Linked DNA regions of Caenorhabditis elegans. The protein of the gene in region 1 purifies or fractionates together with the protein of each later gene. This does not show direct contact. Each region holds a gene or a part of one and is shown in the gene's direction. Other genes may lie near its edges. The genes, in order: Y47G6A.22, men-1, etfb-1 and K01A2.5.

Region 1 (7,786 bases):
CGAAATATGAAACCGTAGTGAAAGATCCACGTAGTAAAAGATGAGGTAGTAAAAAAGTATTTTCCGTAGTAAAAGATCTATGTGGTCAAATGGTAGTAAAAGAGATCACGTAGTAAAAGAGCCAATTGTAGTAAAAGATCTAAATGCGGAATTCGTAGTAAAAGAGATCTTGTAGTAAAAGAGATACGTAGTAAAAGATCAAGTAGTAAAACAGTATCTGCCTCCAAATTTCAACAAAAAACCAAAATTTTCAGAGTCGAACGGACTCGATGGCACCGACACCAAAACGACGAGACAGCCGTCGTTCGAGCGAAGAAGTTTCCGTTTCAATCGATATTCCCGATATTATTACAGATATTTCCGACGCCTCGTTTAGACCGAAACACAATTAATTGATTTTTTTTTTCTCATGTATTTTCTAATTTTCTAGTCAACAATTATTGGCCAGCAGCTTCTTAATATTTTCTATTGCCTGATTTACGGTTTTTTTTAATTATTTATTTTTTTCCTCCAATTTCTGCTTCCACAAATATTTAAATGTACCAAATAATTTCCAATGAGCTTCTGTGATTTGTCTATTTTTATTTATTTTTTTCTGTGAATAATAATTCATTTGTACTAGTATTTATTAGTTTCATTTGATAAGTTTCCTAACAATTTTTGGATTATTTATATCTTATTACGAGGATCCACACGCAAACGCAGAAAGTGTCTGACTTTGTCCGGGCACACTGATCTTCCATTTCGATCCATCACACTTGATGCTTCCTTTTGATCCAACTTTACTCATTGGGGTCACGAATTCACGTCCCTGTTCATTGTAGTACCAAACATCAGAGCCAGCGGGGCATTTTATCGAATATTGATTGCCGGAGCCGGTTACAGCTTGAGAAAATGGAGCGAAATCGCAGAGGGGACAATTGACTCGGCGGGGGAGGTAGATGCTGGAAATGCCGGGGCAGCCACCTGGAAATTATTCAAATTATTCATTTAGGGCCGCATTTGCGCGTAAAATTTGATGCATTGGGTCAGTGAACTACGACAGTGCACCATGTTTGACGCGCAAATTCGAAAAAAAATTTAATTTTTGGGGAAATAAACAAATTCCCTGTACAAAATTGATATTTTTGAAAACACGTGGTGTCAGGCTGTCTCATTGCGGTTTGATAAACAAAAAATGCGGGAATATTTTTCCGGAAAAATTGTGACGTCAGTAGGCTCTTAACCAGGCGAAATAAGATGAGAAGTCTGCGTCTCTTCTCCCGCATTTTTTGAAGATCAAAACCCAAATAGGACATTCTGACTCCCCTTACGAAAATTCACTTTTCAAATAATCTGGCGAAAAGCAGAAAAATTCGTCAAATTTTAAAAACTATTTATAAAAAATCCTATTTTTTCATTAATCCCATTACACTTCTTTTTTTTAATGAATTGGGTGATTAAACATTATTCGAATTTTTTTTTGTTGAAAAATCAATAATCTCAAAAAACCCACCATAGACAGTGACGATCAGAATCGTAGCCAGTAGAACAATGATCTTGAACATTTCGCCGCTGACCTATCTATCAGTACTCAAACCCTAATTCTCAGCCTTAAATATCGTTACTGCTGTTTTTTTTTCGGCGACGAACGCTCACCCCGCCCCACACACAAAACTTCCTTCATCATGATTGATTAGTTTTTGAATTGAAACGGGAAAAAAAGACTGAACAAAGGGAAATATTATTGAGACGTAGAAAAATGCGCTTTTCACGGTGGTTCAGTTGCTAGATGGGTGCAAACGCACTCCACCGAACAAACGTGCATAACTTGGGCAGGAAGCACAAAATCGAAAATTCATCACAAATAAAGATAGGTATATTCATTGCGGTCATTTCTTATATGCATCGCAAAATCGATTTTGTGATGGTTTTCGAGATAGTAGCCAATATAGGTTTCCAGACTGACACGGACAACTGAAAAGGATCCGCCCCCAAACGTTGGGTCTCGTCAGGTATTGGCGAGACAACCGGGAATTTTTATGGTTTTTTGCCGATTTTACTAGTTTTATGTGTCGAAATTAAGGAAAATCAAATTAAATAACGGTTTTCCCTTTTAAATGCAATTTTAAAAACATAATTTCGATATAAAAATCTTGAAAAAACACGAAAAAATGCTTGAGAACAGGTGAAATCGGCAAAAAAGCGGTAATACCTAACGAGACCCAACGTTTGGGGGCGGAGCTTTTCCATTTGACCGTGGAGCGCGCTTGCACCTCGATTTCAAAAATCGCATTTTTCTGCATCAAAATTTTACGATTTTTTTCTCCATATCTCGACACGACAAATATTTGTTAAATACGAAAAGGTGTGCTCCTTTAAAGAGCACTGTAATTTCTCGTTTTGGAATTTTCATTGACACAGTACTCTTTGAAGGCGCACATCTTTTTACATTTAACATACATTTATCGCGACGAGACCAGGCACCGTAGCTTTGGCACAAAAATAGCAATTTTTTCAAATATCAACTACAGTAACCCACAGTTTGACATGGATTTTGAAATAAAAAAGTTTGCGCGTCAAATGTGATGCATTGAGTCATGTACCTAATGCACCACAGTTTACGCGCAAAAAAATTTGGAAAAGTTGAACTCCTGATGTGTGATGTGTTATCAGGAGCGGAGAAAACAAAATTTGTATTTTTCTCTGGGTCTCGTTTTTTTAGGATGCCGTTTATTATTTGTTTCAAAGATTTTTTTTTCAATTTTCAATTTTCAATTTTAATTTTAATTTTGATTTTGCAGGTCAACCATGCCCGTCGCAATTGTCACAGGTAATAATGACTCTAAATACTTGAAATTCCATTCCTCTCCCCTCTTTTCCAGGTGCAAGTTCTGGTATTGGACGTGCGGCGGCTCTTCTTCTCGCCCGGAACAACTACAAGCTCTCACTTACCGGACGGAATGTGGCGGCTCTCAATGAGCTCGCCGGGCAAATTGTCAGTGCTGGAAGTGATAAGAATGATGTACTGGTGACCGCTGTTGAGTTGGCTTCAGAAGAAGCTCCGAAGACTATTGTGGATGCGACTGTGCAAAAGTTTGGACGAATTGACACATTGGTGGGGGGTTATTTTTGGAAAGTTATAATAAAATTTAGAACTATTACGGGAACATAAAAATAAATAAAATTCTGAGAATTCGTACTGCACAACATATTTGACGCGCAAAATATCTCGCAGCGAAAACTACAGTAATTCTTTTAATGACTACTGTAGCTCTTGTGTCGATTTACGGGCTTGATTCTCATAATCAAGATAATAAAGCCCGTAAATCGACACAATCGCTACAGTAGTCATTTAAAGAATTACGGTAGTCTTCGCTACGAGATATTATGCGCGTCAAATGTGTTGCATTACGCATTTTCAGGATTTTGTGTTCCCGTTATAAAAAATTTTAGTTCAAAATTCTTTTTGAAAACGTAATAATTGCGAATTTTGTAAAAAAATGCACAGAAAATTATCCAAATGTGAAGTTTTGCGACTACTATTGCGTTACAAATACGGTATCTGGTCTCACCACGACTAATTTTTGCAACTTGTAAAAAGGTGCGCGCCTTTAAAGAGTACTGTATTTTCTTTTGTTTCTGCGGAATTTTCATCGAATTTTATACTTTTCGATAAAAAACTGTTTGAAAAATTAAAATTTATATATAAAAATCGAAGGAAAATTTGAAAAAATTCTGTAGTATATGCGAGTACTGTAGCTCAGTTTTGCACCCAAATTTAATTATTTTTTTTAAAATTAAAATTATTTTTGTCGCATTTCACATTAAGATTCAGAGATCTTAGAATTTTTATTTTTTAAAATTTTTTGAGAAAAAAGTTTGCGCGCTTTTTTAGATACTTTTTTTTTCGAATTTTCCAAATTTCTGCCTAAAGAGTTTTCTCATTTTTATTTTCGAGAAAAATTGCACCAACCTGTAAAAAGAAAATATGGGGATAACGAAAACATTTAAAAAAACTCTCCAACCGATTCTTGAATTATTAAACCCTTAAAATATTCTAAATTTCAGATCAATTCGGCCGGGATTCTGCGTGCCGGACCAGTTCTCGATTCTGGAATTGAAGTCTACGATGAGCTAATGAATGTGAATGTTCGTAGTTTGATCCGCCTGACACGTGCAGCTCTTCCACATATTATTACAACAAAAGGAACTGTTGTCAATGTCAGCAGTATTAATGGACCGTGCCCTGTATGATGTTATTTTTTTGTTGAAAATAATTTTCAAATTCGCAATTTTCAGTTCCCAAATGTAACCTATTACTGTATGTCCAAGTCGGCCGTAGATCAATTCACAAAATGTTTGGCTCTCGAAATGGCTCCGAATGGAGTTCGTGTTAATGCTGTTTGGTGAGTTTTCTCGCGATTTTTGCCAAAAAACTACGGTGCCAGGTCTCGAAGCGATCGATTCTCTTTAAGGAGTACTGTAATTACGATTTTTTCGGTTTTTAGGTTTTTTAAAGAAATATTCGAAAAATAAGAAAACATATACATTTCTTCCAAAAAGAAGAAAAATTGTCAAAATTTCAAGATATTTTGCGAAAAATCGGAAAAATATTTATTTTTGAAATCGAAAATATTTTTGGCTTTTTTTTTTTCGAAAAATCGAAAAATTATCGGAAAATATGAGTAAGAACGAAATCACAAAAAAAAACTAGGAAAATTTCCTGAAAATTCTAACTTTTTGCCGAATTTTCATAGGTTTTCTTGTTTTTGTTCAAATTTTGATGCATTTTTATATTTTTTGAATAAAAACGAATTTTTTAAAAGACAGGAGCTAAACTATGGAAAATTGCTTTAAAAATCTCGCAAAAACTAGGAGTAAGTAACTACAGTACACTACAGTACTCCTTTAAAGGCGCACGCACTTTTGAATTGAAAAAAAAAAGATCGCTTCGAGACCGGTTACCGTATTTTGGTGCAAAAATCGCTAACTTTCTCATTTTTTGTCGAATGAAACGCTAACAACACACGTATTACGGGAACACAAAATTTTGGGAATTCGTCTTACGCAACATATTTGACGCGCAAAATATCAAAACTACAGTAATCCTTTAACTGACTACTGTACTGCTTGTGTCGATTTACGGGCTCGATTTTGGAAATTAATTTATTTTCTTCGTTTCTTCGTATTATTTTCTCATTTTCAATAATCTTTTGATAAATAAAAAAACCCGTAAATCGGCACAAGTGCAACAGTAGTCATTTAAAGAATTACTGTAGTTTTGATATTTTGCGCGTCACATATGATGCGCAATACGCATTCTCAAAATATTGTGTTCCCTTAATAAACCCATATAAATTTGTCATTTCTCCAAAAATTTCAGCCCAGGGGTCACCGTGACCAACCTGCATCGTACATCTGGTCAAGACGAGACAACATATTCTGCGGTATAAAACCTGCTGCACTGACCTTGACAAATAAATATCATCATTTCTTTCAGTTCTTGGAACGTAGTAAAACGACACACGCACTCGGCCGTCCCGGTGATGCCAATGAAGTTGCTGAGGCAATCTATTTCCTCGCCTCTGAGAAAAGTTCATTCACTACTGGAGAACTTCTTCGTGTTGACGGAGGCCGCGGAATCATGCATCCGAGATAAATATTAGCTTTTTTGTCTCATATTGAGATTGTTTTGAACTTTTATCATGTAATAAATAGAGAGATACATGTATTTTTTTTAATTGTGTTTTTATTGAATCCTTTATAGTGGTTTTTTCCTTGCTTAATTTTTTTTTTTTTTGAAAAAAAATCGATTTTTTTTTGATTCAGTTTTGAATTTATTCAGAGTATCCGAAAATGCCAGTCGCCATCATCACCGGAGCAAGTTCGGGAATCGGAAAAGGCACGGCTCTTCTGTTCGCGAAAAAAAAGTACCAACTCTCGCTGACCGGAAGAAATACGGATTCTTTGAAGGAAGTCGCAGCACTATGTATTTCAGAGGGTGCAATTTCGGCTGATGATGTGAGTTTTATATTTTAGGAACTGTGACGGAAAGTACAGTATTACGGGAACACAGAATTCTGAGATTGCGTATTGCGCAACATATTTGACGCGCAAAATATCTCGTAGCGAAAACTACAGTAATCCTTCAAATTACTACTGTAACTCTGGTGTCGTAAATCAACACAAGCGCTACAGTAGTCATTTAAAGAATTACTGTAGTTTTGATATTTTGCGCGTCAATTATGTTGTGCATTACGCATTCTCAGAATTTTGTGTTCTCATGATAGCAGTTATCACAAAAAAATTTCGATTTTTTTTCCTCGTTTGTAATTTTTGGAAACACCGTTTTTTTGTCGAAAAAACAAAAAAAATTATTTTTTTAATTAAAAAAAACCGCCGCCATGGTCTTGACACATACAAAAAAAAATATTAAAACTCATCGAATATCAAGAAGTATACTAAAAATCATTAAAAATTACAAACACTTGCAGGTACTGTAGCTATGAATTTTATTATGTCGTTTCGAGACCAAAAATCGCAAAATTTTGCAAAAAAAGGGGATTGAACGTTTTTAGGTGGAAAAAATAGCGACATCAATTAAAAAATCGATTTTCATTCCAGATTCTGATAACTGCAGTGGAGCTGAGCTCTGATGAGGCGCCCAAAGCAATTGTGGATGCAACTGTACAAAAATTCGGAAGAATTGACTCATTGGTGAGGATATTCAGTTCGAAACAATTTGAAACTATCGAGAGAAAAGTTTTTCGGAAATTTAGAGTTTATCCATTTATTATTTACAAAATTTTCAGAAACGCGTACATAGAGGATCACGGATTTATTCGGTTGGGTCTTGCCACGAAAAATGTTTTTGCGCGGTGAGACCCAACTAGATAATTGCGTGCGCCTTTAAGTTCGTATCCCAGGAACAATTGCGGAACTACAATAGGTTTTTTTTCAATTTTATGAAGTCAATACTATTCAAAATTTAAACTTGAAAAATAAAAAACTTCACTTTTCCAGGATCCATAGTTTTTTTTTCGAGAAATTTCCCATTCTACCCTTAAAATATTCTAAATTTCAGATCAATTCGGCCGGGATTCTGCGTGCCGGACCAGTTCTCGATTCTGGAATTGAAGTCTACGATGAGCTAATGAATGTGAATGTTCGTAGTTTGATCCGCCTGACACGTGCAGCTCTTCCACATATTATTACAACAAAAGGAACTGTTGTCAATGTCAGCAGTATTAATGGACCGTGCCCTGTATGATTTTTCTTTTGGAAATTAAAAAAAAATATATTTCGAATTCGCAATTTTCAGTTCGCTGGGGTCACATATTACTGTATGTCCAAATCGGCCGTAGATCAATTCACAAAATGTTTGGCTCTGGAAATGGCTCCGAATGGAGTTCGTGTTAATGCTGTTTGGTGAGATTTAAATATTTTCATATTAAGAGCCCAAAAATTGAGAATAATTAAAATAAATTTCAGCCCAGGAGTCATTGTAACCAACATTCATCGAGCATCTGGGCAGGATGAAGCTACATATGCGGCAGTAAGTCTATTCTAACGACACGCAAGAAGTAATGGGCGGAGTCGGAAGCGCAACTCCGCCGCACGATTCTATTTTAATTAAAATTTTAACTGTTTTTTTAAAATATTCACAGCAAGATCAAATAATTAAAGTAATTCTAAAGCAAGATTTCGATTATTCAACCTGACAAATTAAGATAAATTGATTGTTTGATTTTTAAAAATGCGGAAAAATAGACGAAAAACAGTGCGGCGGAGTTGCATTTTCAAC
Region 2 (10,321 bases), on another chromosome or scaffold:
TTGTATTTGTGGAGGACGTGGTGGAGCCGCCGCAGAAATTGTTCACGAGAGGAGCCATCGTACGAGCTGATAAGAAGGAGACCGTTGTCGTTGACTTCCTTGATAATAGCTGTAGTCGTGATAATCACGTGGAGGATATCATCTCGTGTGAATGCCTGTTCTGTGAGAACGGAGATCATCAGTATGGGGCGAGAGTGAGTATATCTTGCAACAAAAAATTTGAAAAATTTGAACTTCCCACCATACATTTTACCATTAAAACGGTATTTTAACTGCAAAATTCGAGTTTTCCGTGAAATTTCACACCTGGCTGTACTTTTTTCGAGTCTGTAGGTCAATTTTGAAAATTTTCGGGTTACTGTAGCCCCGAAAGTACGCAGCGCAATGGTGTTTGCGTACCTGGCACCAAATCTGACGAAATTGCGTCTAAATTGGCTCATAATTAATTCACAGGGCAATAAAGGTACGCTGATTCTGAATTTTATATTAAAAATGCTGGGGAATATTGATTTTCCACCAGGAAATTGAAATTTTCAAAAAAAATCGTCAATTTCCTCAAATTTTCGATGATTTTTGCTGCAAAATTCGAGTTCCTCTTGAAATTTCACCCCTGGCTGTACTTTTTTGCAGTCTCTAGCTCAATTTTCACAATTCCGGGTTACTGTAGCCCCGAAAGTACGCAGCGCCTTGGTGTTTGCGTACCTGGCACCAGATTCTACGGAATTTCGTCTAAATGAGCTGAAAAATGAAGTACGGGGCTAAAAAATCATGCTGATTCTGATTTTCATATTAAAAATGTTGGAAAATTAATCGAAATGTGGAAAATTCCGATTTTTTAACGCCGAAAATACAATTTTTAGTGTTTAAAATCGAATTTTTCTCATTTTCAATACGAAATTCAGAATCAGCGTGATTTTATTGCCCTGTGAACCAATTTTCAGCTGATTTAAACAAAATGTCGTCAAATCTGGTGCCTGGTACGCAAACACCGCGGCGTTGCGTACTTTTGGCGCTACAGTAACCGAGAAAATTTCAAAATTGGGCTAAAGCCTCCAAAAAAGTACAGCCAGGGGTGAAATTTCACGGAGAACTCGAATTTTGGAGTTAAAGAGCTCGTGTAGTCCTCGAGGACAAGGTTTTCGATAAAATCCTCAATTTCGGGCAATTCTTTTCGGTATTTTAACACACAAATCGTCTTATTTATAGTTTTTCAGGCCAAAACCGAAAAAAAAACTATAAATTGTGCAGATTTTTACAAAAAAATTGTAAAAATGTATTAAAAATGGCTCATATTCAGGTTTTCCCGATAAAATCTGTTTAAAATTGCTAATAATCCGATTTTTTTTTTCGAAAATATTGTTTTTAAATAGCTAAAATTCAGCTGAATATTTCAGATTTTTCGGGAAAAATTCATTATAAACAGCCGAAATTCAGATTTTCCCCTTTAAAATCACGATTTTTCTAGGGAAAACTCAAGTCTTCTAGTCATTTTTAATGGGTTTTCCTGTTTTTTTAAATAAATTATAAATAAAGAAAAAGCCCGGAAATACTATAAAAAAGTCCTAAAAACCCCCAAAAAAATCAATAAATTCCCCAATTTGTTTTGCAGGTAAAAGTAGTGTGGGACGACAAGCAAGTCTACGACGCGTACTTCCGTGGAAAAGGACAGATGATCGAGTACACGGTCCGACTGGAAGATGGCCGAGAAGTCCGCCATCCACGGAACAGGCTGAAAACGAAGCGAGAACTGAACGCGTATCTCAAAAAATAGCTTTAATAAATAAATAAATATTCGATTTTTTAAAATTTACTATTAAATAGTCCCTGACAAAAAATTCTTGTCAAAATGTAATATATTCTCTCTTTCCCGCCCGTCTACCCTCAAATATGTGATCTCTGCGCCTCTTTTCCCCCCAGTTTTTTTTTGTACGAAAAGTCGAAGAATCTCTAATTATCCCTGTTTTTCTGTTTTTTTTCTGTATTTTTTTGTCATTTAAATATTTTTCGCTATTTTTCCCTATTATTTTGCAGAAACTTTTAAATGTTTTCCCCGAAATTGATCAATTTATCTAATAAACCTTTTTTTTTCCAAATGCCAACACACTAATCGCATTCTTATCAAATAATTCCGTCGAAAAATCAGAAAAATTGGCCAAAGATCACTTTATCCGATTTGTTGACTTCCTGTGAACACGTGTTGAGCTGACAGCTGCGTTGGGAGTGGGAAAATATTGAAAATAACCGGAAAACTCGTTCAAAATCCAGAAATTCTCTTTAAAAAACTGTTTTTTAATGAAAAAACCTTTCAAAATCCAGAAATTCTCTTTTCAAAGCTGTTTTTTAATGAAAAAACCTTTCAAAATCCAGAAATTCTCTTTAAAAAGCTATTTTTAATGAAAAAACAGTTCAAAATCCAGAAATTCTCTTTAAAAAGCTATTTTTTAATGAAAAAACCTTTCAAAATTCGAATTGGCGCCGGTGAATTGACACGGCAACTGCGTACTTTGCGGCCAATGCGCCACATTTGACGACAATTTTTCTTTATTTTTTTCATTGATTTTCGTTATTTTCTTGAGTTTTTGTCGGTTTTCGAGAGGAAAAATAAACTAATTTCTTTATTTTTTGTGGAAAATTCAAAAAATCGCATTAAAATATCTGTTTCTTCCAATTAAAACCCCAAAGATCACGGCTAATTCGATGACAAGGCCACCTTGATCGAAAAATATCGCTATAAACAAGAAAAAAACACGGGAAAACATCATTTTTCTCGCTTTTTCTCCCTCTTCCCTCCTCTCACCGCATACTTGCTCCCCCAAGCACTCATTTCGCCGCCACTCGAAGGAAAAACGATTTTCCATCTTACTTTTTGAAATAAAAATTCATTTTTTCAAGAAAAGAGTTCCGCCCGTGTTTTTGTTTTCTTTTTCTCCCTGCGTCTCTCCGCTGAGTGCAGATCTCTCGCACATAGTTTATCCCGAAAGAATACGTGGATCGATAGACGACGGGCGCCCCCATTTGTGGCTTCTCAGGCAATTGTCTCTCCAGTTTCACCGCGAGTTTTCCCGAATTTTCAGGTTTTCCATAATTTTTTCTGAATAAAAATTGATAAAATGCACTCATTTTTCTTATCAATTGTCACCGTTTTTATTTCACGTGTTTCAAAAAAAAAAGTTTTTATCGAAATTTTACATTTTTCCGTCTCATTTCAGAATCAATTCTCATTTGCTCTTGGGTTTCACAACCGTGCGGGAATCACGAAAAATGCTGAGCCGTCTTTCGCCTGCCAGGTAGGGAGGATTTTGCGTTGAAATTAGCTGAAATTCGAGAAATGTATTAAAAATGACTAAAAATTCAGATTTTCCCGGAAAAATCCATTTAAAACGGCTGAAATTCTGCTTTTCTCGGAAAAAATTTATGAAAAATGGGTGAAATTCAGATGGTCTCGGCAAAAATGCGTAAAATATCGATTTTTCTGCGAGAAATTGCAGAAATTGAAATTTTTACAGGTTTTCGTTGAAAAAGTCTACGAATTTTGACGAGTATTTAAAAAATTTGTAGATTTTTTCGATAAAAACCTATGAAAATTTCAATTTCTGCGATTTTTCTGCGATTTTGCCCAATTTTTCTTGGAAAATCTGAGTTTTAATCATTTTAAATTTATTTTTTCTAAAAAAATCTGAACTTCAGCCATTTTAAATGGTTTTCTCCGGGAAAATCTGCATTTCAGCCATTTTACTAGATTTTTTTCCGAAAAAGTCTGTATTTCTGGCATTTTGAATGAATTTTTGACATTTTTTATGGTTTTATTCCAGAAAAATCTGATTTTTAGCCGCAGTTGGTGGATTTTTCCGAAAAAATCTGAATTTCAGCCAATTTTTAATGGATTTTTTCCGGGAAAATCTAAAATTTCAACATTTTTAAAATGAATTTTCCGCCATTTTTTATGCATTTTTTCCTGGAAAATCTGATTTTAAGCCATTTGTAATCAATTTTTTTTCGGAAAAATCTGAGTTTTAGTCATTATAAATAGTTTTTTTTCTGGAAAAACAGATTTTTCGCTATTTTTAATGTATTTTTCCGGGAAAAAGTCTCAATTTGAGCCGTTTGAATGAGTTTTTCCAGGAGAAATCTGAATTTTCGCTATTTTCAATGGATTTTTTTTTGGAAAAAACTGAATTACAGCCGTTTTTAAGGGATTTTTTCCGAGAAAATCCGATTTTTAGCCATTTTTCATGAATTTTTTTCGGAGAAAATCTGAATTTCAGCCGTTTTTAATTGATTTTTCTGGGAAAGCTTGATTTTTAGCCATTTTTTATATTTAAAAAATTTGAGTTTCAGCCATTTCAAATACATTTTTTCCGTGAAAATCTACTGTTTTAGTCATTAAAAAAAATTTTTTCCAAAAAATCCGATTTTCAGCCTTTTAAATGGATTTTTCCGGGAAAATCTGAATATTTAGTCATTTTTTATGGATTTTTTTCCGGAAAATTTGAAATTTAGCCGTTTTAATGGCATTTTCCCAGAAAAATCTGAGTTTCAGCCATTTCGAATACATTTTTCCGTGAAAATCTACTTTTTAGCCATTTTAAATAGTTTTTTTTCTGGAAAATCTGAATTTTAACGATTTTAAATAAATTTTTTCCATGAAAATCTGAATTTTTAGCCATTATTTATGGATTTTTTTTTCCGAAAAATTTGAATTTCGGTCATTTTAAATGGGTTTCTCCGGGAAAATCTGAATTTTTGCCATTTTTTTCAATGAAAAACCAAAAATCCCCAAATTTCCAGCATCCGCCGTCTCTCCACATCAACACGATGCCTGAGCGACAAAAACGAGCCGGATCTCTCCGATCCCAAAACTCTGGCCCTTCACAAGCTCTACCGCCCGGAACGCACCACACCCCAGAAGCGAGGAATCGACCTGCTCAAGTCGCCCGGGCTCAATAAGGGAATGGCTTTTTCCCTCCACGAACGTCAATATCTCGGAGTTCACGGGCTTCTGCCACCCGCATTTATGACCGAAGAGCAACAAGCCTACCGTATCATCACAAAACTCCGCCAGCAACCTGACAACCTTGCCAAGTACATTCAATTGGACTCGTTGCAGGATCGTAACGAGAAGCTCTACTACCGAGTGCTCTGCGATAATGTGAAGGAGCTCATGCCAATTGTGTACACTCCTACCGTAGGACAAGCCTGTCAGCATTTCGGATTCATCTACCGTAACCCAAAGGGTCTCTACATTACTATTAATGATAATAGTATTAGTAAAATCCATCAGATTCTTGCAAATTGGCCGACAGAGAACGTCCGAGCAATTGTGATCACTGACGGAGAGCGGATCCTCGGCCTCGGCGACCTGGGAACCTATGGAATCGGAATTCCCGTTGGAAAACTTGCACTCTACGTTGCGCTCGCAGGGATTCGCCCGGAATGGTGTCTCCCGGTGATTCTCGACGTGGGAACTGATAACAGCGAGCTGCTCAACGATCCATTCTACACGGGGCTCCGTAGAAAGCGTGTTAGAGGTCCCGAATACGATACGCTCGTCGATAATTTTATGAAGGCGGCCACGAAGCGGTTCGGACGGGATACGCTGATTCAATTTGAAGATTTTGGAAATCAGAATGCGTATCGGTTGTTGGATCGGTATAAGGGAGAATATTGCATGTTTAATGATGATATTCAAGGTAGAATTTGGCAGGGGGGAAATTGAGGAAAAAAAGCGAAAAAATCGGAGAAAAAGGCTTTAAAATGCACATTTGAGAAAAAAAATTGCATTTTGGCCGAAATTTTTCAAAAAAAATCTGAATTTTCACTGTTTTCAAATATGAAATTCAGAATCAGCATACTTTTATTGCCCTGTGCGCCAATTTTCAGCTCATTTAGACGAAGAAATCTCGTAGAATCTGGTGTCTGGTACGCAAACACCGAAGCGCTGCGTACTTTCGGGGCTACAGTAACCCGGATATTTTCAAAATTGAGCTAGTAACTCGAAAAAAAAAGTACAGCCCGGGGTGAAGTTTCACGGGAAACTCGAATTTTGGAGTTTCAAAAAAATAGTGAAGCAAATTTGAGGGGATATATTCCTTTATAACTTTATATTTTAACTGCAAAATTCCGCCGTAAAAGTTTTCCGTAAAATTTCTTTACCCCTAGCCATGTAATTATTTTGGAGTCTCTAGCTCAATTTTGAAAATTTCCGGGTTACTGTAGCCTCAGAAGTACGCAGAGCTTCGGTGTTTGCGTACTTGGCACCGGATTCTACGATATTTCGTTTAAATGAGCTGAAAATTGTTAATTAAAGTATGCTGATTCTGAATTTCGGGTTGAAAATGTCGGAAAATTTCGGGAAATTTCGGATTTTTCTGGAAATTTCAATTTTTTAAAGAGAAATTTTGCTTCTTTTTTTTTTTGGGAAATTTTAATTTTTTGAAAATTTCGATTTTTTTGACCTTGAACTTGGAAATAAAAGTGAAAAATTGATTCTAAAAATAATAGTTTCCCAGGAAATTTGGATTTTTTCAATATAAAATAGGAAACAAAAAAAAAAGGTCTTTAAAAAATAGTTTTAAAAATTAAAAATTAAAAGTTCTTTTGTTTTCAGATTTCAGATTTGAAATTTTTGATTAAAAAAAAAAATTAAAAAATAGTTAGAAATAAATTTTGTAAAAAAAATTTTTTTGCAAATTTCCAGGTACCGCCGCTGTCGTCGTCGCCGGCCTGCTCGCCTCAACTCGTATCACCAAGAAGAAGCTCTCCCAGGAACGGATCGTCTTCCTCGGAGCCGGTGGAGCCGCCACCGGAGTCGCCGAAATGTGTGTCCGACAGATGATGGACGAGGGATTGTCGGAGGAAGAAGCTTGCGGTCGGATTTATATGGTTGATATTGAAGGACTCATCACGACGTCTCGTAGTAAATCTCTTGGCGAGAGACATGTGAAATTCGCTAAAGATCTTCCGGATACCAAGAATCTGCTGGAAGTTGTGAAGACTGTCAAGCCTGGAGCACTCATCGGAGCATCTACGGTGGCTGGAGCATTTACGGAGGATATTATTAAGGAAATGGCTCGGCTGAACCCGAGGCCAATCATTTTTGCACTGTCCAACCCTACAAGTAAAGCAGAATGCACTGCGGAGACGGCTTATCGCTGCACAAATGTACGGGATATGTAAATTTAGAGAAAAAACTGGAAAAATATGGAGAAAATCTGAATTTTTCAGATTTTTTGAGCTGAATTTACTGCATTTTTCATGGAAAAGTGAATTTTTAAATTCAAAAATTCGCCGTTTTTCAGATTTTTCCAATGAAAAGTTAGTTAAAAATTATTATTTTCCAGCTTTTTCATGGAAAAAAAATCAAAAATTTTTAAATCCAAATGTATAATTTTCCGGACTTTTTGTGTTAAAAATTAACCGTTTTTTTTTCAGATTTTCCATGAAAAAATGTTTTTTTTTTCAAATAAAAAACTTAAAAAATCTCAATTTTTACAATTTAGAGCCATTTTTCAATGAAAAACCTGAAAAATAGTAATTTTAAAGTCGCTTTTCAAAGAGAAATCTGGAAATCTGAAAATTTAAATTTTAAAATCTAAAATATATATCAATTTTTAGAATTTAGAGCGGTTTTAAATGAAAAATCTGGGAAAAAAGTAATTTTTAAATAGTAATAAAAATAATAACGAAAATTGGAAAAAAAAACTGGAAAAATATGGAGAAAATCTGCACTTTTTTAGTTGAGAAATGTAGAATTTGCCAATTTTCGCTTGATTTTTCATGGAAAAATTATTTTGAAATTCAAAAATTGACCGTTTTTTTTCAGATTTACCTTTTAAAAAGTGACTTTATAAATCAAAAATTAACCTTTTTTAATTGAAAATTAATATTTTCCACGGCAAAGAGAATATTTTAAATTTATTTTTCTTTAAAAAATCTGGAAAATGCCAATTTTAATTAAAAAAAAATCATTTTAAAATAATGTTTTAGTTTTTAATTTATTGAAGTCAATTTTATAATTTAAAGTTGCGTCGTTTTTTCAGATTTTTTACGGAAAAATGATTTTAAATTGAATTAAATTTTGTTTTTTAACAGAAAAATCTTTAAAAAGGTACAATTTCTTCCAATTGTAAGTTAATTTTTTCGAAGAAAATTGTGGAAAATGTCAATTTTAAAATTTATTCTTTTTAGATTTTTAGTTGAAAAAATGATTTTAGAATTTAATAAAAATTTATATTTTTCAGCTCTTTCGTGGAAAAATGATTTTAAATGGAATTAAAATTAATTTTCTATGGAAAAATTTGGAAAAATGTCAATTTTTAATCTTAAAAATCATTTTTCAATGAAAAATCTGAAAAATCAGTTATTTTTCCCTCCAAAAATACCCAATTTTTGCAGGGAGCCGTCCTCTTCGCCTCCGGATCCCCGTTCGAAAATGTCGAAATGAATGGAAAACTCTATAAGCCAGGACAGGGAAACAACGCCTACATCTTCCCGGGTGTTGCTCTCGGAGCCGTCCTCTTCCGTACCAAAAACATTCCGGACAAGCTGTTCCTTCTGGCCGCCCGTATGGTCGCCGAAGCCGTATCGGAGAAGTCGTTGAACACGTATTCACGTGTATATCCACGTCTGAAGGATATTCGAGAACTTTCGGTGAAAATTGCCGTAGAAGTTGGCGAGTATTGTTATCGACACGATTTGGCCACTTTGCACCCGAAACCCGATGATATGGTGCGGTTGTTTTTGAGTGGAAATTTGAAAAAAAAAAACGTCGGAAAATTTCGATTTTCCTGCAATTTTTAGACATTTTTTGCTGAAAAAAACATGAAAAACTGTTGAAAAATACCAAAAAAAAAAACTTTTCCCCGAAAAAAAGTGATTTTCCTCACTTTTTAATGCAAAAAATGGCCATGTGTCGATTTACGCGAATCGTGTACTCCTCGGAGAGAAAAGCAATTTTTTGAGTGGAAATTTGGAAAAAATCGGGAAAATTTCGATTTTCCTAGCATTTCAAGCTGAAAAAACATGAAAAATGGATGAAAAACATTTTTAAAAATGACAAAAAAAGACTTTTCCCCACCCGAAAAAATTGATTTTCCTCACTTTTTAATGCAAAAAATGGCCGTGTACCGATTTACGCGAGTCGTGTACTCCTCGAGGAAAAGAATAATTTTTCATGGAAAAAAGCATTTTTAGCTGAAAAACATGAAAAAATTTTGAAAAATACCTTCAAAAATGATTTTTAGACAATTTTATGCCTAAAATTGAAAAATTCTACTTATTTCTGACGATTTTTCCGAAAAAAACTGCTGAAAATATAATTTTTCACATTTTTTTTCGAATGCAAAAATATGACCGTGTGTCGATTTACGCGGTTCGTGTACTCCCCGAGGAGAATTTCCGAATTTACTATTCGAATTGCTCATTTTCATAGGTTTTTTTCCGGTGAAAGTACGATTTTTCTGGTTTCTAGTGCATTTTCAGCAGTAAATTCATTTATTTTCACTAAAAACTTTAAAAAATCAATAAATTAGGTGATTTAAATCGTTAAAAATCAAAAAATCAGCAAAAATGGACTACTTTTAGCCTAAAACGTGAATTTCCTTGCAAAAACAACGCAAACTTCTCCTCGGGGAGTACACACGAGCCGCAGATTAATCGACACTGCAAAATTCGAGTTCCTCGTAAAATTTCGCCCCTAGTCGTCTTTTTTTTGGAGTCTCTAGCTCAATTTTGAAAATTTCCGGGTTACTGTAGCCTCAGAAGTACGCAGAGCTTCGGTGTTTGCGTACTTGGCACCGGATTCTACGATATTTCGTTTAAATGAGCTGAAAATTGTTAATTAAAGTATGCTGATTCTGAATTTCGGGTTGAAAATGTCGGGAAATTTCGGGAAATTTCGGATTTTTCTGGAAATTTCAATTTTTTAAAGAGAAATTTTGCTTCTTTTTTTTTTTGGGAAATTTTAATTTTTTGAAAATTTCGATTTTTTTGACCTTGAACTTGGAAATAAAAGTGAAAAATTGATTCTAAAAATAATAGTTTCCCCTAAAAATTGTCAAAAATCTTAAAATTTTTCAAATATTTTGGAATTTTTTGAGAAATTTCAATTTTTAACCCGAAATTTCCGAAAAAAATCTCAAAAAAAAGGAAAATGAGAAGTTAAAAAACGCAATTTTCCCCTAAAAAATTGTCAAAAATTTTGGGATTTTTTGAGAATTTTTAATTAATTTTTAACTAGCAATTTCTCAAAAAATTTGTTAAAAAATTTCGTAAAATTGGTTAAAAGTTTGTGCTTTTTTTTCAGTTTTAAATTTATAAAAAA
Region 3 (6,917 bases), 1.1 Mb from region 1:
AACGCAATGATTTCTCACTGAAATCTTGTGAAAAATTGAAAAATAGAAGAAATTTTGAGTTATTTTTTCTGAAAAACTCGAAAACTCCTTTTAAATTTCGATTTCGCCCAAAAATTTAATTTTTTTGCAGCATCCAAATGTCGTTAAATTCTACGGAGTTGGTGCAAGCCAGGAGCCGCTGTACGTCATCATGGAGTTGGCGGATTGTGGAGCCCTGGACTCGTACCTTCAGAAGAATCCGAATTTGGTGCCCGACAAGAAGATGGAGATGATCTACCAAGCAGCGTGTGGAATCTCGTATATGCACGAGAAGAAACTTCTACATCGAGACATTGCGGCGAGAAATTGCCTGTATGGAGGTGGTCAGGTCAAGATTGCGGATTTTGGGTTATCCCGTGAGGGAATCTCGTATGTCATGGACCTGACGAAGAAGGTTCCGATTCGTTGGTTGGCTCCGGAGACGTTGAAAGCGGGGATTTATAGTCCGAAGACTGATGTGTTTGCGTTCGGTTAGTCTTTCCAATAACATTTTCAAATAAAATAGACATTTTTTCAGGAATAATGGCTTGGGAGATCACTGAGAATGGGAAGGAGCCGTACCCAGACATGAGAGTTGCTGACGTCGTCGGAAAGGTCCGTAATGGATACCGCATGCGGTTTGATCCGGTCTTTGTGGACTTCAGATTCGGCGACTATGTCACGGTTGGTTTGAATCTGAAATTATAGCTAATTACTAATTTCTCATTTTTCAGAAGCACTGCTGGGCTGAAAATCCGGCGGATCGTGTGAGCATGGCGGATGTTCTGCGCTATCTTCAGACAACTTTTGGGATGAAGCCAGTGGTTCTATCGATTCTATCGAGCAATCGCTCGACCGAGGAGGAGATGAAGACGATGAAGCCGCCAATGTTCTCGGTGAAGAGAAACAACAAGAAGAAGCCGAAGTGATCTTTGATTTGTTCGGAAATAAAGTTTTGATAGTTTTGACTTGAGATGTTAATAAAATTGTTTTATTACCCTGAGAATTCGAGAGAAGAATACGGTACCTGGTCTCGAAACGACAATTGTTTGTTAAATGCGTGAAGGTGTGCGCCTTTAAAGAGTACTGTAATTTAAAAATTGCGGTATTTTCTTCAATTTTTTTATTTCTTTTGATTTGTTAAAACATATACTGTTTTTTGTTAGTTTATTGATGAATAAATTCAATTTTTTTTACAAAAAAACTACGAAAAGTCGATAATTACAGTAATTTTCAAAGAAAGGCGCACAGATTTATTCAGATTGGTCTTGGCACGCAAAAAAGTTTATGGTAGTTTATTTTTGTGCGATTTTATCTATCGGTGAAATTACGATGTTAATTTTTTCAAATTCATATAGCGGATCTGGAAATATTTTTGACGTTGATAATTTTGTGTTTTATAGCCTGAAACCGACTTAAAATACAGAAATTTCTACAACCCAAAATTGTCGTAAGATCCGCTGCTTGCGGACATCAAGTGTCGTCGTTTATGACGTAAAGTCCGCAGATACACACACATGACTCATGAATTTGTTTTTATCGCTTTCTTGCGAAATTTAACTTATAAAAGCACTTTCTCACCGTAATTCTCGTATTTCAGAAACTCAAATACCAGCTTAATACACATAAAATCATCATGGGAGCCGGAGAAAGCAGTATGGCCTTGGAAAGTGAGTTTCAAATTGATTTCTCTTGATTTTGACTTATTTTCATGTTTTTATCTTCCAGAACACTTATTTGATCTTAAATTCGCAGCGAAACAGTTGGAAAAGAATGCTCAACGATGCGAGAAGGATGAAAAGGTCGAGAAAGACAAGCTGACGGCAGCTATTAAGGTAAAAAATAATTAAAAATGAAAAAAAAAACAATTATTTTTTAAATTCGATTTTTTCCAGAAAGGAAACAAAGAAGTCGCACAGGTTCATGCTGAAAATGCGATCAGGAAGAAGAATGAAGCAGTGAACTACATTAAAATGGCCGCCAGAATCGACGCAGTGGCCGCCCGAGTTCAAACCGCCGCCACACAAAAACGAGTAACCGCCAGCATGAGCGGCGTAGTGAAAGCCATGGAAAGCGCCATGAAGAGCATGAATCTCGAGAAAGTTCAACAGTTGATGGATAGATTCGAAAGAGATTTCGAAGATCTCGACGTGACCACAAAGACGATGGAAAAGACGATGGACGGAACGACAGTGTTGAATGCTCCGAAGTCACAGGTGGATGCTCTGATTGCAGAGGCCGCCGACAAGGCAGGCATCGAGCTCAACCAGGAGCTTCCGTCAAACGTGCCAACTGCTCTGCCGACCGGGACGCAAGCTGTTTCAGAAGACAAGGACCTCACAGAACGCCTGGCTGCTCTTCGCAACATGTGATCTTCCAGATTTCTCAAGAAATTTCTGTGAATATGAATATTCTGCTGACGGTTTCATTTTTAAAATTAAGATACTGCTTTTTTTCTTGTATATACAACATTTCTCTCAATAATGAAGCAACAATTTTTCTGCTTTTTTTTTGTTTTATCTAATCTATCTAGATCTACGAAGTTCAGCTCATGTCTTCTTCGAAATATTTATTCTTTTATTTTTCAGAACATTTTTTCTACAAATCGGTCGCTTACGTGTAGGCCACAACAATCACCGCCCGCGTTTCATTCTCTGCGTCTCTCGTCTTCCCACACTCTCTCTCCACATCGTCTTATCTCTCTCATCACTTGTTTTATTATTTTTATTCTTATTTTTCACGAATTTTCTATAAAAAACGGAATTTTCGAAGGTTTTTAAGGAAAAACGTGGCAGTTTTAAAGCTATTTTAAACATTTTTCGGCTAAAATTTCGAATTTCGGCTTTAATTAATTGATTCAAATTTAAAAATCAAATTCTGAACTCTGAAGTGTGTACTTTGACCCCGCCGCCGCTGTTTTTTTCGATCATTTCTTCATTTATTAATAAATAAATAAATTTATTCCCAGTTTTTCTTCCAGCCAAGCGATGAAGATTCTCGTCGGAGTCAAGAGAGTTGTCGACTATGCTGTCAAGGTAGGATTTCAGGAAAAAGAGCAAAAAATTCGAAAAAACAGCTTAATTTCGGCGAAAATCTTGAATTTCACCAACTTTTCCGTGTCGCAGCAGTTGGAAATCAGTTTTTTGTCATTTTTGGCTCAAAGTGTACCCCAATCAACGGAAAATCGATTAAAATTGGCAATAAAAGCTGATTTCCAACCGCTGTGACACGGAAAACTTGGATAAATTGGAGATTTTAGACACATTTCGATTCTATAAAAGCCCAAAATTTCCAGATCCGTGTCAAGCCGGACCGCTCGGGAGTCGTCACCGAAGGAGTTCAACACAGCATGAATCCATTCGACGAGATCGCTTTAGAGGAGGCCGTCAAGCTCAAGGAGAAGAAGCTCGCCACCGAAGTCGTCGCGTTCTCGCTCGGCGGACCAAAATCCGCCGAAGTGCTCCGGACCGCGTTGGCGAAGGGCGCCGACAAGGCAGTTCACGTTCAGGTGACCGACGCCGAAGCTGGCAAGCTCGAGTCATTCCACGTGGCGAAGGCGCTTCAGAAGATTGTCGAGCAGGAGAAGTTCGACGCGGTTTTTCTCGGAAAGCAGGCAATCGATGATGATTCGTCGCAAACTGCTCCGATTCTCGCTGGCCTGCTCGAGTGGCCACAGGCTCTCTACGCGTCGAAGGTTGAAGACGCAGGCGCTGGACACATGAAGGTCACCCGTGAAATTGATGGAGGTCTTGACACGATTAAGGTGATTCTTACTATATCGATCGATAGCCGTGAAAAGCAGCCCCGCACAGAACGCGAGACGGGGCTTGATATTGCAACCCTGCGGCACGGTTTTTCCTTTTTCCGCTTGTTTTTTGTTTGATTTTTTCAATTTTTCATGTTTTAATCTCTTTTTTCGAATGAGAACGTTATTTAATTTAAAATCAAAATTTATTAATCGATCCTTAAATTTTGCAAAAATTTGTCGCACAGAAAGTGGGGCGGAGCGTAGCTTACGCAACACTGCCGCACGGGGTTTGTCTCCGCCCCTTTTCCACTGCTTTTTTTGTTGATTTTTTCAATAAAGTTTCGATTTTTCTCTTTTTTTTCGAATTGGATTTTCATTCGAAAAAAAAAGAAATTATTGAAAAAATCAACAAGAAAAGCTTAAAAGCAGTAGAAAAGGGGCGGAGGCAAACCCCGTGCGGCAGTGTTGCAAAAGCTATGCCCCGCCCCACTTTCTGGGCGACAAAATTTCTTGCAAAATTCAAGGATCGATTAATAAATTTTGATAGTTAATTAAATAACGTTCTTATTCGAAAAAAAAGGAGATTAAAACATGAAAAATTGAAAAAGCGAAAAAAGGAGGAAAAACCGTGCCGCAAGGTTGCAAAATAACGCCCCGCCCCTATTTCTGCGCGCCGCTATTTTGTTTGCAAAATTCACGGATCTAAAGTTTTATTCGAAAAATTTTCTATTTTCCAGGTCAAAGTGCCATTCGTCCTATCCGCCGATCTTCGCCTCAACGAGCCCCGCTACGCGACTCTTCCAAACATCATGAAGGCCAAGAAGAAGCCACTGAAGAACATTCCAATCAAAGATCTGAATGTAGATATCACACCACAAACTGAAACTCTTGAAGTCACCGAGCCACCAGTTCGCCAGGCCGGAGGATTCGTCGACGATGTCTCGGCACTTGTCGCCAAGCTCAAGGAGAAGGGATTCGTCAAGGCTTAAGCCCCCGATAACCTCTTCCGCCGCTGAATTATTGTAGTAGTCGAATCAGAAAATTTTGTATTTAAATTATTTTTATTATTTTTTCTATTCAATGTTTTATGTGATGCAGGTTTAAAAAAGTATGAAAAATTATTTTTGTTCATAAAAGTGAATAGCTTGAACGGGAAACGATCAAAAAACGGAATGCATTGTTCACAAAACCATGGGAGAATTGGTGTAGGTAGATCTGGAAATATTACGGATTATTATCTGGGCGCGAAAAATTACGCGCCCCGCCCCTAAACGATGGGTCTCGTTAGGTAAATATTTGGCGGCAAGACGGGAAATTCAAATGTTTTACATTATTCTTGCCAATTTTTAAGCTTTTTTTCATATTTTTTATAAGTTTTAGGTCGAAATAACGATTACTTCCGACGATTTTACCCGTTTTCAAGCATTTTTCGTTATTTTTTATGTTTTTATGCCGAAATTATGGTTAAAAATGATTATGACATTAACTTTTTCAATTTTGACAAAAAAAAACTCATTGAAAACAGCGAAAAATGCTGGAAAATTGGCAAAAACGGTTTTCCCGCCAATTCCTAACGAGACCCAACGGTTTGGGGTGGAGATTTGTCCGTGGAGCGCAATTGCACTTTATAGTATTACGGAAACTCACACATTCTGAGAATGCGTACAGCGCAGCATATTTGACGCGCAAAATATGAAAATATCTCGTAGCGAAAACTACAGTAATTCTTTAAATGACTACTGTAGGCCGATTTACGGGCTCGAATATTGAAATGAATTTCATTTCGAATAGTGACAAAGATATTCAATTTTTCTTCGTTTTTCAAACAAAAAATCATTTTCGTAAATCGACACAAGTGCTACAGTAGTCATTCAAAGAATTACTGTAGTTTTCGTTACGAGATATTTTCATATTTTGCACGTCAAATATGTTGCGAAATACGCATTCTAAGAATTTTTAAGTTCCCGTAATATTGGAATTTTTGGAATGAAAAAAAAAAAGAAAAACTTACCATTCTAGTCTGAGAATTGCACTGGGGACATATGGATTTTGAGGGCGATGATGTGTTGAATGACTCGTATTTCGGAGATTTCATGCGGAACGACGTCGAGTCCCCACACCGGAATACCTCTGCCGACCTTGATGACGTCATCCGTAACGTGGCTCGCCCTGAAACGACGTGTCGTGTCTGCTCCCGCTGCTCATTGCACATTGAGAGCCTCGCCTGCCGCCGACGCCGCATCATCACACTCTCACCGTCGGATCTTCGTTCGATCAACAGAGTCAGCGAATCGGAGCGGGACATCCAGAATCGGAAGATGCTCGCCGCCTGATCTACGGAAACGGCGCGAAGTGAGATCTTGTTGCACCGGAGTAGACGATCGCCTTCTCGAAGATGTGTGCTCTGGAAGTTTTTTAGAATTTTTTTCGAAAAAAAAAGTGACCCCTAACTGAATTATGAGTGCAGCTAAGCATGTTGAGCTCAAGAAAAAAAGAAAAGAAAAAGTAGCGGCCATCCAATTATGTGTACCCGCGGCTCATCGGACTTGAGCGAGCCCTATTACTCATTCAAGTGCTCACTAAATTGGCTTTTTCTTCTTCTTTTTTCTTGGGTCTTGCCGCGATTATGCACATATGTGTATAATAATTTTTCCCCTATTGTGCGCCTTTAAAGAGTACTGTAGCTTCAAAGTTTTGTGGGATTTTTTTTGATTTCTCATAGTGTTTCGTTAAAAATCGATTTTTTTAATTAAAAAATTACTGAATTCGATTTTAAAATTTTTTGTTAAATATAAACGGGTGAGCGCCTTTAAAGGGTACTGTAATTTCGAACTTTCGCTGCTATGGAATTTTTTAAATAGATTTTTCGTAGTTTTTCGATAAAAATATATTTATTTATTTAAAAAAAGAAATAAAACAAAACATAAAAACTACGAAAAAATCGATGCAAATTTCATAGCAACGAAAGTTTGAAATTACAGTACTCTTTAAAGGCGCGCATCCATTTTTATTTAACAAACATTTTAAAAATTGAATTCAGTTTTTTAAATAAAAAAAAATCGATAAAAATCCCACAAAAGTTTGAAACTACAGTACTCTTTAGAGGCGCACAATAGGGGAAAAATTGTATGTGCATAATCGATAATTGTCG
Region 4 (6,211 bases), on another chromosome or scaffold:
ATGCATGAATGGGTAACCTAAGTCTGCTCGCAGCCCCCTTACAAACTTTTTTTTCCAGTTCTTCGTCGTCTTCTACATGCTAACCGTCTCCAATGCAATCTTCATCTTCCTCTTCACACCACGTGTCCGCCGTGATCTCTCGAATTTCATGTGCCAAGTAATGGAAATTTCCATTCGAAACGGCACCTCTAACACCATCCCGGTGCTCAATGTGTCCGCAAAGTATTGAAAGGATTTTGATGTTATAATTTCTGTGAAATTCTATTTATTTGATCGTTTATTTATTTAAGTTACAACATTAATAATAATAAAGCATACAATCCAAAAACCAAGAATGACGATTCCTGCAAGCAAATGGAAAGCACCTCTAGATGTTTTGCAACTGCCTACCAGTTAGCATGTTAGTCTTATCATTAGTCTACGAACTGATAAGCTTATTATCGTTTGACAACAAGTTCCTCATTCAGTTTCGCTGCTATGATTCTTCTGGGAATCGTTTTACTTATTTCCTATGCTTTTTGTCAAAATGTACCAACTGTGATTTTGTCCGGAGAGTCGAGAATTGTTTCCAGGAGGATTCTTGAAGTCGATCTGGTAAGTGGATTAAGGGAATTAAAACATTATTAACCCGTCAGTTTGAAACAATTATATTTTATTCTTAAGGAACCTATACATCATGACATTCAAAACGGTTCTGTTCCTAATTTTTGTTCACTTATTTTATTGAATACATTCTAATTATTCTTGAACAAAATCTCAGCCTAAGTTATTCGTACAGTGTCGGTCCTGGAGCAATGAATCAAAGTTTAAAGAGATTTCAATTTACACAGTAAGAGCTTCGAGGCGAAGCCTCAAACCTGAATAGTCAAGTTTTCTAAACATATACCCCACTCCTGAAATAATTTCAAAGAGATCTCGAATAACCCGTTAACAGGTTCGAGGCAAAGCCGAGAACCTGCGCCAGCTACCTTGCTAATAACTTAGAGCGAATTAACCCTATCCCCATTCCCGAAGGGCTGGCGGGCCCATAGGCCCGCTAGTCACCTAAAATGATGATATCGGGTGGCAGGCATATATGGATTTTTTAACCGACCAGTTAAAAACTGATATTTTAAAAAGGTGATGCTAAAAAAATTGTTCAATCAATCCAATCTTCCAGGGAACAGCGCAACAACTACCTGTATTTCATGATCAAAACTTTGATAGAGTCCCTGTGCAAGTTGTCAACCGGCAGGACCCCAATGAACACTGCGACACATAGTACCCTGCGACAGTATATAGAAGAATCCTAAGACGAGCTAGAGTATTCAGAGATCGACAAGGACAGCTCACGGATCAATGGGAGCCGCTTGGAGATCCAGTGGAAGTGGAGTCTTGGACATTGACACGGAAACAAGGGAATACTGGAAAATGAGAAAATCGTCTTCAAGTTTTTCTCTAATATTGTAATTTTCAAGTTTTATTGATTAAATTTGGTTCATAAAAATTTATTTGTGTTCGACAACATGGGTGAAGCCGCATTGTTCCAGATGTGTAAAACTGTGTTGTCCTAAAAGATCAAAGACCCAAGCTTGACAAATCTGAAAAAAATGCTTTCAGCACTCCCCGCAAAATCACATGATTCGATCATCAATTTCCTCTTTGCGGTTTTATACAATACCTTCAGACAATAGGAACAATTTTCTGTCTCTTCCATATCCCTTTTCCCTTTCATTTCCCATTTATTTCCCTCTGTGTGTCCAAGTGCCTGTGTTCTTCTCCTTCTTCTTTCATCTTAACAACATCTTCCTCCGACTGCGTTTGTACACTTTCACCTGTTATTCCCTATTTACCCTCATATCCTAGATTGAAATCTGCATACTCTCCCAGTATAAATCAAAAGGTTTACTTTACTGTTTCATAGTTCCTTTTTATTAGAAACTACACATTTATATTACAAATAACTAGATGTTTCGGTGTTTTAGTGGTTATGTTTTTTTTAATAATTTTTATTACCTTTCTAGAATCTTCCAAAATTTTCTCGAATTATTCTGAAGGTTCCAGAACCTTCCAAAATTTTCTCGTATTTTCCAGATAGTTCTAGAACATTCCGGAATTCTATCTAATTTTTCAGAAGGTTTTAGAACATTCCAAAACTTTCTCGTATTTTCCAGATGGTTCTAGAACTTTCCGCAGCTTACAGGCACAAAATTAATCCGGTCTTGTCCAAATTCCTTCTGAAATCTTAATCTGTAGGCTACAAATTTCTCATTCCTATCGGACTTTCAAAATCTTTTTCGTAGAACTATTCGTCATTCAAATACATGCACTTTTAAAATTTCCTCTTTGGTTTTCCTTCCTCTTTAGCCTATTTCACCGAATTTTTGAGATCAATAATTCCATGTGTCCGATTTTCGAATAATTTAATATTCACTATCAGTTTTCACGTATCATAATTCTGGAAGTCGATCAAAAAACAATGTTTTGTACTCTACATTTCTGTATTTAAATATTGTAGAGGTTCACAATACATGTTCTCGCTCTTCAGAAAATTCCGAATTCTATAAATGTCGCGGAACCATAATTATTTGGCCTAAACCGATTTCAAATACCTATGTTAATTCTAGGTCAATCCGGTGGTTGTAAATCATCGACAATAACAATATATACGACCTACTGTACTAGTAGGTTGTAAATACTGTAGTACTACCACACCACAAGAGGCGTTCTCTTAGCAATACATTTGAACCTTGACCCTTGTTACGTCTCTTTCTAGGATAGAAGAAATCGGGGAGATGTACTTCAAAGGTGTGCGGTCTCAAAGGTCACAAAGGTGTCTCAAACATTTATATTATCCGGAAAATTTCCTCACCGTCGCTACCTCATAATTAACAAATTAAACACCTAAATAAATTTCAGCAAAAGAAAAATGACTCAAAGCGACTATATCGAAAGTTCGGAACACATCAAGGACACTCAAATCGGTTACTGTAAATACGGCCACGGTCCGAACTACATTCTCGCGATTTGCGGTGCTGTCGGCTGCTATAAAAAAGATTGGCCACTCAAATTGCTCTCTCATTTCCCACCAGATCAGGTCACAATTGTTGGGATTGATCCTCCAGGTTACGGTACCTCAAGACCTCCAGAGCGAAAACAAGAAGTTCAGAGATGTATGAAGGATAGTGAATATTGCCTAGGGTTAATGGAGGTGAGCTTTTAATTTTGAAATTAAAATTTTTACGTTTTCAAAAAGCCTCCAAATTTTAGACCCTGAAACTAGAGCCGTTCACCGTGATGGGGTGGTCAGAAGGTGCTAGAACAACGGTCCACGTGGCAGCTAAAGGAAAGGAAAAAGTGAATCGAATGATTGTAATGGCTGGTGCAACAAAAGTTAATCATCTAGGAGCCATGGCTTTCAAGGGTGAGATATTTAGATATATTTGGAAGATTACTGTTTTTTAATGAAATTTCTTAATTTGACACCAATATGGCCCATTTTTCCACATAGAAGCAGCAATTTATGCCTACCTACCTACAAGATTTTTTATGGGAAAATAAATCGAACGTCCATTTTATGGGTGTGGCCATCTATTGGTTTTGTGCTCTTTATAAATTAATTTTTGGAATTTCAGGAATGCGTGAAACAAATCATTGGCTAGCAGCCGGTCGTCAACCATATTTGGACCATTATTCGCCGGAAACACTCCGGACACAATGGGCGGCACTTTGTGACGTCGTAGATCAGTGAGTTTTGTGGGCGGGGCTTATGCGAAGTTGTGTATATTCCTGTAGGCACAAATATGTCTGCCAACTACCTTCAAGGCGACCTACGTCTGCTTCCTACCTAACCAAACGAATTTTCAGAGTTCACTCGTTCTGCGGTGGCCGTTTCCCGTGTGACCTGGTACTTCCACAAGTCAAATGCCCGACACTAGTGATGAATGGTGGATTGGACCGGTTCTGTGGTGACCCGAATGTATGCTTCATCCCAGTGCTCAAGAGTTTGGCAAAAGTTGAGATTCATGCACAAGGAGGACACGATTTTTATTTGAAATATCCCAAATGGTTTTCCGGAAAGGTTCTGGAATTCTTGAAGAGCACGGAGAAGAAATGATAAATATATGAAATTTGTATTTTGTATTTTGTGAAGAATAAAGTTTATAAAAAATTCGTCCTGGTCTCAAGCAATTTCGCTATTACACTCATAAGCTCCACCCACAAAATGACTGATTTCATTAGGAATTTTGCCAAAAGAAAATTTCAGAAAAAATTCTAAAATTTCCAGAAAAAAAATCTTCCCGTTCACAAAGGGTTTCTGTCCGAGCCTTGTGGGCGGGGCCCATGCGAAGCCCAATTAAAATTTTTGGGACAGTATACTTTCTGGAAACGTCCGTGAAAAAGTTTATACAAATTTATTTCACAAAAATAAAAATAATTACGGACTAGCGTGACTAACAGGCTTCCGGCGAACATTCTTTGCTCTTGTCGCCAAAAGTAGTCGTCTCTGCTTCTTGAGCACTCGAGCCAGCACTCGTTTCCTGTACTCATCCTCTTTATTGTACTCTGACACGTAACGGCTTTGGGATGCTGTGGCGTAGCTTGTGGACACTGTAAAAAATATGTTGAAATTTGAAATTTGAGTTTTTTTAGGCCGTAATATCAGCCCCGCCTACTTAATGGAAAAAAGTAGCCTACCTGGTGCCGGCTGCACATAACTATTCCGATTGACTCCTGCGTTCTTTGGTGGACACGGACAATATTCAGCATCCTGCCCCGGTGGCCCACGAACTCCTGGATAGCCAGTAACTCCAGGTACCCCTGGTTCTCCATCCTGTCCAGCTTCTCCCTGAACTCCAGGTGTTCCTGGTGGTCCTGGAGGCGGTGTATATCCAGGTGGCCCTGGTGGTCCGCATTGACCAGGAAGTCCTGGAGGGCCTTTACGGCCTGGTAGGGATATCTGACGGATCGAGTTATTTCCAGGCTCTCCCTTAAGGCCTGGTGTACCATTGGGACCTTCCCGTCCAGCTTCACCACAAGGCCCCGGTGGCCCAGGAAGTCCTGGAGGAGAGGTGTATCCGGGATTCCCTGGGAGCCCGGGAATTCCAGAAGGTCCACAAGGCCCAACGGCACCAGGAGGACCTTGTGGACCCTGGGGACATTGTATGCAACCTGGAATCTCTTGATCGTAAGCTATAAGGGTTACACCATTGGCTCCTGGACGTCCATCGAGACCCCGAGAGCCCGGTTCTCCAGGAGCTCCAGGGTAACCAGTGGGGCCTTGTGGTCCTGGTGGACAATTGTTGGCTTGTGGGGCACAATCTGAAAATTGAATTTTGTAGTTTGTAGTCTCGTTTTTAGTTTTTGCCCTTTTATCTTTTCCGTTTTTCGCAAAATTCTATAAAATTATAATTTTCTTCTAAAAAAAGAGATACAAGATGTTCAAATAGTCAAATTGTGACCAAACTCCGCCCAAAAAATGGATATTAGGCTCCGCTCACAAATGTATCTTGCTGAACGAGCTTTCCCATTTTTTAAACGAAAATTCTCACAGAATCCAAGCTCCGCCCGCAAAATGGATGTTATTTTTTGAAGAAAAAAAACTAACTGCATTGCTGTTGTGTTGGATGCTGTAAAACGGGTGCAGTCGCATAACTATTCACTCTTGCATACGAATTCACTTGCTGCGGAGCATAACTATCATAAGATCGTTTTGCCCAGAATCGTTTTCCGGCATTTCCAGAGTTTCCTGTCGTTGATGGACTTCTGGCTTTTCGAATTGTCAGTGACGTCATTTCATTCCACGCGGCGTCGGAGAAGTACTGGAAAACTTTTTTGTCCAGGTGCAGGCAAATAAAAAGTCTGACCAACCTTCCATTCTTTTAAATCATCCAGAGTCTGCTCCCGGAACTCGGAGATTTCCCGTGACGTCATCATAATCAAAAACAGACATAACGAAATCAATAGGGACGAAGCGATGAAAGACACACGTATTACTGTAGATAATTGAAACTTTTTCAGTGAACAACTTTGGTTCAAATTCATGGTTTAATGAAGTTTTGCGGCAAGAACTAGTCTTTTATATACTCCCTCTCCTGCTGAAAATAGAGACGGGCGGCGCATAAAGTGAAGGTTTTGGAACGGAAAATCCGGATCTTTTCAATGCGCGAAAAGTACTTGGAAATTCAATTGGCATATGTATACCACTTATTATATTTCAATTGGTAGAATT

The links.
Region 2: the proteins of Y47G6A.22 (region 1) and men-1 fractionate together in Caenorhabditis elegans (co-fractionation; one large-scale study listed by BioGRID). This does not show direct contact.
Region 3: the proteins of Y47G6A.22 (region 1) and etfb-1 fractionate together in Caenorhabditis elegans (co-fractionation; one large-scale study listed by BioGRID). This does not show direct contact.
Region 4: the proteins of Y47G6A.22 (region 1) and K01A2.5 fractionate together in Caenorhabditis elegans (co-fractionation; one large-scale study listed by BioGRID). This does not show direct contact.

What each region holds. Positions count from the first base shown.
Region 1 is NC_003279.8:3,557,849-3,565,634, reverse strand, and holds Y47G6A.22 (DeHydrogenases, Short chain), read left to right. Parts: upstream 1-2,783; 5' UTR 2,784-2,790; coding exon 2,791-2,812; intron 2,813-2,864; coding exon 2,865-3,097; intron 3,098-4,050; coding exon 4,051-4,230; intron 4,231-4,281; coding exon 4,282-4,388; intron 4,389-5,365; coding exon 5,366-5,429; intron 5,430-5,482; coding exon 5,483-5,641; 3' UTR 5,642-5,701; downstream 5,702-7,786. Other genes in the region: lpd-3 (Bridge-like lipid transfer protein family member 1 C-terminal domain-containing protein), read left to right, coding at 255-392; Y47G6A.33 (C6 domain-containing protein), read right to left, coding at 680-966, 1,496-1,547; Y47G6A.21 (DeHydrogenases, Short chain), read left to right, coding at 5,839-6,003, 6,607-6,699, 7,067-7,246, 7,304-7,410, 7,474-7,537.
Region 2 is NC_003280.10:14,226,744-14,237,064, reverse strand, and holds the start of men-1 (Malic enzyme), read left to right. Parts: upstream 1-3,209; 5' UTR 3,210-3,261; coding exon 3,262-3,287; intron 3,288-4,788; coding exon 4,789-5,690; intron 5,691-6,697; coding exon 6,698-7,161; intron 7,162-8,394; coding exon 8,395-8,727; intron 8,728-10,321. Other genes in the region: jmjd-2 (Lysine-specific demethylase 4), read left to right, coding at 1-194, 1,610-1,771.
Region 3 is NC_003279.8:2,416,435-2,423,351, reverse strand, and holds etfb-1 (Electron transfer flavoprotein subunit beta), read left to right. Parts: upstream 1-2,998; 5' UTR 2,999-3,005; coding exon 3,006-3,053; intron 3,054-3,313; coding exon 3,314-3,781; intron 3,782-4,503; coding exon 4,504-4,755; 3' UTR 4,756-4,891; downstream 4,892-6,917. Other genes in the region: F23C8.7 (Tyrosine-protein kinase), read left to right, coding at 131-509, 557-702, 753-947; did-2 (Charged multivesicular body protein 1b), read left to right, coding at 1,655-1,688, 1,747-1,853, 1,914-2,390; F23C8.13 (PDZ domain-containing protein), read right to left, coding at 4,895-4,981, 5,778-6,170.
Region 4 is NC_003280.10:299,507-305,717, forward strand, and holds K01A2.5 (AB hydrolase-1 domain-containing protein), read left to right. Parts: upstream 1-2,898; 5' UTR 2,899-2,908; coding exon 2,909-3,190; intron 3,191-3,249; coding exon 3,250-3,403; intron 3,404-3,614; coding exon 3,615-3,726; intron 3,727-3,846; coding exon 3,847-4,096; 3' UTR 4,097-4,153; downstream 4,154-6,211. Other genes in the region: B0432.1 (Serpentine Receptor, class T), read left to right, coding at 1-12, 59-229; K01A2.6 (AMIN domain-containing protein), read left to right, coding at 478-594, 1,160-1,261; col-69 (Nematode cuticle collagen N-terminal domain-containing protein), read right to left, coding at 4,418-4,590, 4,678-5,301, 5,588-5,801, 5,851-6,024.